Saccharomyces cerevisiae S288C: one gene and its partner. The protein of the gene in region 1 purifies or fractionates together with the protein of each later gene. This does not show direct contact. Each region holds a gene or a part of one and is shown in the gene's direction. Other genes may lie near its edges. The genes, in order: IWR1 and RPB4.

Region 1 (3,745 bases):
AAATGAAATGATTAAAAAGTCTCTGAATTCCAAAAGAGCACAGTTGGAGAAGCTGGAAGCGCAAAACAATGAATATAAGGATGTTGACAAAATAATTGACAACGAAATGTCTAAAAGTCATACTATTAATCTGGAACGCCCTAATAATAATACAGGTAGCGGTGGGAAATCATATGGTGGCAAACTATTCAATGGATTTAACAAATTGGCATCAATGGTAAAAGATTCTGTGAAGTATCAAGAAACAGATCCGCATACCGCAAGTATCAATTTGAAGAAAGAAATTGAACAACTGTCTGAATCATTGGAAGTTACTGAGAATGATTTGGAGGTCATTTCAAAAGTCATCAAAAATGACCAGCTACCTAAATTTTCTAAAGAAAGGGAAGTAGATTTATCAGAAATTTTAAAGCATTATTCCAGATATATGAGAAATTATGCCCGTCAAAATTTAGAAATTTGGAAAGAAGTCAAAAGACATCAAGATTTTGCATAGTATTATGAGCATTTTTTTTTAGCGTTATAGCATACTTGATATATATATATATAAACAACGTGAAGATCAAATAACGTCAAATGTATTAAATAGACTAAAATATTATGCACTTCTCTTCGGATTTATTGCTCGCGGGCTGGTTGACGTTACATGGTCCATTCCACTGAAATGTTTTAAGAGATGCCTATATGGCCAACTCAAAGTTTTGAAAAAGGGAACTAGGTTCACATAATATGGGGCATTTAGTGTTTGCAGATGATTATGCTCCATCGCAGAGATTATCGCTAGTGCCAGTTGGGAAGGTATGATGTCAGGAGCCAATAACTTAGATGGTGTAGGGACATCAATAAACATATTAGTTTTGATTTTTCCCGGGCACACCAGTAGTGTTTTTATTCCAGTTTTATTACATTCCGTGGACAAACTTCTGAAATGCCTGCTCATACACTTGTGAAAACCAATCATTGCTCCTTTTGATGCACCATACGATGTCAGCCTTGCAGGAGTCAGTTCTCCGAGGACTGAAGCAATGTTAATTATAAAGCCTTCCCTATTGTCTATCATATCTTCTGCAAATGTACTGATGATTCGGTAAGCACCTATTAAGTTTATGTCGATCAATTGTTCTACCTCCTTGTTTGTCATATGTTCTAACTTTTTGATGTGAGCAACACCAGCATTATTTATAATTATATTAATGTTGCCATGATCTCTTTCAATAGCTTTTTTCAAATTTTTAATTTCATCTAGACTTGTTATGTCGCATTGATAGTAGAAAATGTTATTATATTCTACCTGAGCAAAAGTAGGAAATGATTGAATATCTGCCACAATAACTTTATTAATTCTTCTGGAAAGTTCCTTTGCAAGTTCAAATCCGAGTCCACTAGAACCACCGGTTATTAGTGCAGTTGCATTTTTAGAAAGGATGGAAGGGTTGTAGCTGGGCAGACTTAGGATGACTGATGGAAAATCCTTGAGGTGTTTTGTAGTTCCACTCGCTCTATTTATTTTATTCTTGCGTACCATAATTAATAATATTTCTTACCCATAAAACTATGTTAAATATGTCACTGAATCTCTATTGAGGTGTCCTTTTGATGATGCGGTTTCAGATATGAGAAATGTTCATTCAAGAAGTGTCACAAATTCTGTTCCTCTGCTGACGCCCGCTACATATTGACGTTCAAAAATATAGAAGAAAAAGGCAGTAAAGCGTTAACATAAGAAAACTAAAGAGCAAGTCTGATTTGGCACTACCACGCTTCCAACAGAAGTAATTGTTGCTTCAAATAAGTTCGCAGCATGTGGATTCAAGTCCACAGATGCGATATTTAGGAGCCCAATCAGATAATATTGATTCCGGGTTATCTCTTGTTTGTGTCGGCACAGGGGATTTAAATTGTGTAATGCTCAAGACAAGTTATTGATGAGAACAAGAGATGGTATATAAAACTGCTCTCTGAGGTATAGCTTTTGTTGAGGTAGGCATACAAGATTTCGGGAATGAGCACTATTAGTACCACAACGGCACCTGAGTTTATCAGAGTAAAGAGAAGAAGGGATGAGGATTCTGTGCAGGCATTATGTATGTGTTGTTATTCTACCGATATAACAAAAATGCGTTTGACTAACTAAGTTCATCTGGGACAATTCAGTAATTGATGAGGGGAAAAGAGTGAAGAAGCAGAAGTTCATATTTAAATTATCAAAGACTGTGAGCTCTGAAAGCTATCAATCCGAGCAAGAGTCTTCTACGCCACTCTTAAAACTGGCTCATGAAGATCATCGACATTTTGTATTGGAACAAAGAAAAAAAAGTCGTAGAGACTCAGATGATGAAAAATCACAACAGCGGCTTGCAGCAGAAGGAAGTACTGTAGATGACGATGGGTTACCGCCAGAGATCAATCAAATGGTGAATGACTATTTAAAGTTGAATAAAGGTGTAGAAAAGACAGAAAGAAAAAAACCAAGTAGGAAATATTTTACTGGGGATTCTGCAAAAATTGCATCACTACCCAGTTTAGATTACGTTTTTGACATCTACCATTTGGAGAAAATTCATGACGATGAGGTTGCTAGATATAACAACGAGAAAAATATAGGGTTTGTGAAAATTATTGAGCATATAGATTTGGCTCTTGATGAAGAAAGTGATCCCAATGAAGCCCGTTCAGACGATGAGGATTCTAATGACGAAAACTATTACCAAAATGATTATCCGGAGGATGAAGATGATGATAGATCTATTCTATTTGGTAGCGAAGGAGAGGATATAGCTGCATTGGGTGAAGAGATTGTTATAGGGGTTAATAAGAGCAGGTTTTCCTCTTGGAATGACGATAAAATTCAGGGATCTAATGGGTACCACGATGTGGAGGAAGAGTACGGGGATCTTTTTAACAGGCTTGGAGGAAAAAGTGATGTCTTGAAATCCATAAATTCCTCGAATTTCATTGACTTGGATGGCCAAGAAGGTGAAATAGAGATAAGTGATAACGAAGATGATTCTGATGAAGGAGATGATATTGAATACCCTAGAAATGAATTTTTTCCGACGGATGTTGATGACCCATTGGCGCATCATAGGGACAGAATTTTTCATCAGCTACAGAAAAAAATTAATAGAAGCTAAATTTGCCGTCAGAAACTGTTCAATGTATGTAAGTAACTGCATCTGTAATTTTATCTTTAGATAGTAGAAAATTCATGTTTAACCGCTTTTTCACTTCATGAACTTTTTTTTCTCCGGTGTGGAAACACAAAGATTCAAAGCAAAACTATAAAAAATCACGTCAATTACTTCTGAAATAGATAGAAGAAATGCATAAAATTATTGCTGTTTACTTAAAATATAAACTTATTCTGCAATACATTAATTGATCAGTTCGAAAGGGTTGCTGTGCGAGCAACGAGATCCAGATACTCTTTTAACTTTCCACTAGATTGGAATAATAAATAAATCTTGTCGTTCTCATTAGCGACCAATGAGGTAAATGCCAGGGCTTCCGAAATAAATTTTGGGATCTTTAACAACTTTGCGGCTTCCACTAACTTTTTATGCAATTCCATCAGTAGAAATGGAGTATATAGGGCTCTAATCTCATACAGGATTTCATAATCTGCCGAATCCGCGAAATTAGAGGAAGTTAAATCTACTAAAAATGTCTTGATCAATTCAAATGTATCCTTTGAAAAACCTTGCAATTTCTCTATTAAAGTAGGAATGTTCGATTCAGAGCTTAA
Region 2 (3,432 bases), on another chromosome or scaffold:
GAGCAAGATATTCTCTGGCTTCAGATCGCAATGAATCAGTTTGCTTTCCTTCAAAACGCATAACGAATCCAGTATTTGAGTGGTGAATGTTCTGATAAGTTGTATAGAGAGCCCATGAAATTTGTTTTGTTTTAATAATTCGTACAAATTATTGCTTAGTAATTCAAACACTAAACATAAGTGGTTCTTGTGGACAAAGGAGTCATACATCCTTAAAAAATGATGTTTATTAGTAGGGTCTATCTTTTGATTCAGTAGCTCTAAAATTTTAGCCTCCGTTATACTTTGAGTCAAATATTCTGTCCTCGATTTAACCACTTTTACAGCCAATATCTCTTTCGTCAGCAAATTTTGACATTTGACCACTTGACCAAATGTACCTTGACCCAAAATGTCTAGCACAAGGTACTTTCTGTTCTGCTCTACACCCAAAACGTCATTTACATAAAGAATATAGTCACTGTTTATGTTGTCGAATCCGTTGTTACATTTCCCTTCACTGGGCTTCGTAAGTACTCTCTTGGGGTTTTTGGACGTTTGGTAGGTAAATTCTGGAGAACATAAAGAATATGTGGTAATCAGGCTTTTCGTGACACTGACTAGGGGAGATATCGTCTTGGAATTGAGCGACGCACGTCTAAACTTTGGAGTAGCATTTAAGACAGGTTGAAGATCGTTTTTAGAGTTGCAAAGTTGCATCTGAGGAATGGACAATTTCTGACCTTGTACTTCATCTCTTCGTAACTGCTTGAAAGGGGGTTGTAGTGGGGGACTTGTACTAGGAGGATATGCGCTAAGCCTCCTGTAAGGTGACATGACTGGTATGGAGTTTGTTCCTTGATTAGTATTTGAATTTAGGGAAGAAAAATTGGACGAATAATTAGTTGCAGCCAGACTCTGCCTTCTTTGGAAATCTTGACGATCATAAAGGGAGGGAACAAATCTGGATCCAAATTGGGAAGGATGGATAGCGCCCTGCTGGTATACTTGCTGTTGTTGTTGTTGATAGCCAGAAGGATACTGGCCACTGCTATTTCCTGCCAAACTCGTATTAGAGCTGGTGTAAGCGGGATAACTATCGTACTGGAAAGGATTTGGGGCAGGTGCCCTGGCTGGAGGTACAACGAGACTAGATTTACGTCGTCTGTACGCATCTAGACTTTCGTTACTGTTTAAGTCATCGTATTGAGGGGGATACACCAGGTTTTGTTGAGAATTAGTTACTTTTTCCTCATTCCAAGGGTTAACAAAGCAAAATTGAGAATTCTGTTGTTGTTGTTGTTGCTGCTGCTGCTGCTGCTGGTGATGATTCTGATGCTGCTGCTGTGGAGACCTTTGAGAGCCTTGATTTACGTACGATGGATTCCATATACCTCTCCCCATATGGCTATTGTCTGGGCTTGCTCTACCCGAGCCCATACTAGCATCACTGTGGGTCACAAGGGTCGGGCTCAAGGAGTTATTCATGTTGCTATTGGAGCTGGACGAGTCGTTATTATTGGATGAGTTCATGATTGCTCAAATTAGCATGTGAAAAAAAGATAACGAAATTATGTTCCCTTGCACAATGGCTGTTGCTCTTCACCAAAATTCTTCTTTCGATATATTCCCAAATCTAATAGTGAGAAATTTGTGTAATACCCCCAGTAATGGCCCACCAATTGTTTCCTTATATCTGTTTAGCATTGCGACTCATTCATTGTTCAGCCCAGAAGGGGTAAATCTGAGGAGGGGGCATTGCTTGCAATGGTTCAGAAGGGGCGGTTAGGGTTAATAAAGCCATCGCGCTATTTTGATATTTTTATTAGGCCTTTTATATTTTTTTTAGTTTTTTTCTCCAAATCCTAAATCCTTTTTAGGTGTCATTTACGTGCAACGCGACAATAGTGATATTGTCATTCTTCAAACTTTTTGCAAGGTAGCTATTAAACATACCTACACACATACGTACATGCTTAACGGTGAGACAAAAGTAAAGAAAGAGACTTGAATGGGTTGCTGCATCTTAATAAGTTGAGTTTGAGGGCGAAAGTACACAAATATTCATCCGTATTGAAAATATATATATAAGAATATAGAAAAATGAATGTTTCTACATCAACCTTTCAAACAAGACGGAGAAGATTGAAGAAAGTGGAGGAAGAAGAAAATGCAGCTACTCTACAACTGGGCCAGGAATTCCAGCTGAAACAGATAAATCATCAGGGTGAAGAGGAGGAATTGATTGCCTTGAACCTAAGTGAAGCCAGGTTAGTAATCAAAGAAGCTCTTGTAGAACGTAGGAGAGCATTTAAAAGATCGCAAAAAAAACACAAGAAGAAGCATTTGAAGCACGAAAACGCCAATGATGAAACTACGGCAGTAGAGGATGAAGATGATGATCTGGATGAAGATGACGTCAACGCTGATGATGATGATTTTATGCATTCTGAAACTAGGGAGAAGGAGTTGGAGTCTATCGACGTTCTGTTAGAACAGACAACGGGAGGAAATAATAAAGATTTGAAAAATACCATGCAGTATTTAACAAATTTCTCCCGATTTAGAGACCAAGAAACCGTCGGGGCAGTTATACAGCTTCTGAAAAGCACTGGGTTACATCCTTTTGAAGTGGCGCAACTAGGTTCTTTGGCCTGTGACACAGCTGATGAAGCAAAGACTTTAATTCCAAGCTTAAACAATAAAATATCAGACGATGAGTTGGAAAGGATACTAAAGGAATTGTCAAACCTAGAAACACTCTATTAATAACTGTATGTATACGTGTGTGTAACTAGTAATGAATTTTCACCCTGTGGAAGTTAGGCCTATTTAACAGGAAAAAGGACAGGATTTTAAATCTCGTCTTGCTCTTCTTTTAAGAAATATTTGCCGCTACCGTTTTTCCACCATCTCATCAAACAACTATGTGGGGTTATATCTATGACACTTTCATCATCGCTTTTGCATCTACACCTCTGATCGAGCCTAACAGCGTAAGATGCTGGACAGGTGCCAAACGGTGAGTGAAAATAGCCAAGTTCGTCAAAATGAATGATTTCGTCAGGTCTCAGCAGTAGGGAGACACCAATTGAATGTACAGGTGCGTCACCCCACCTTTCGTAGTAAAATCCGCCCTTGGCATCTAAAGTTTCAAAAAAATGCTTATATTCGTCACTTCTGAAGAAATTCAAGTCGCCAATCTCAAAATTCGACCAAAAATGGCACAAATTGTAGTCAGAGTTTGCTTCAACAACGGGATAATGCTTACCAACTAGCCCTGAATCGGTCAAAAATGCATAGGCACTGTCCTCTTTACGTAAAATGGTCTCTTCGCTGGCCACTAAATACTCCTCTACCGCGTCCCATAAGGTTGGTATGGTTTCTTCATATTCATATAATGATATGACAAATCCGTATTTTTTGCCCTTCAATCTCATAACTCTGAACGGG

What was found.
Region 2: the proteins of IWR1 (region 1) and RPB4 purify together in Saccharomyces cerevisiae (affinity purification with mass spectrometry; 5 studies listed by BioGRID). This does not show direct contact.

The regions. Positions count from the first base shown.
Region 1 is NC_001136.10:253,384-257,128, reverse strand, and holds IWR1 (Iwr1p), read left to right. Parts: upstream 1-2,002; coding exon 2,003-2,084; intron 2,085-2,154; coding exon 2,155-3,134; downstream 3,135-3,745. Other genes in the region: ATG20 (Atg20p), read left to right, coding at 1-496; YDL114W (short-chain dehydrogenase/reductase), read right to left, coding at 599-1,525; NUP84 (Nup84p), read right to left, coding at 3,383-3,745. UniProt on the Saccharomyces cerevisiae protein: Directs RNA polymerase II nuclear import. Binds RNA polymerase II in the active center cleft between the two largest subunits in the cytoplasm.
Region 2 is NC_001142.9:148,879-152,310, forward strand, and holds RPB4 (DNA-directed RNA polymerase II subunit RPB4), read left to right. Parts: upstream 1-2,082; coding exon 2,083-2,748; downstream 2,749-3,432. Other genes in the region: serine/threonine protein kinase YAK1, read right to left, coding at 1-1,512; mannosyltransferase YUR1, read right to left, coding at 2,835-3,432. UniProt on the Saccharomyces cerevisiae protein: DNA-dependent RNA polymerase catalyzes the transcription of DNA into RNA using the four ribonucleoside triphosphates as substrates. Component of RNA polymerase II which synthesizes mRNA precursors and many functional non-coding RNAs.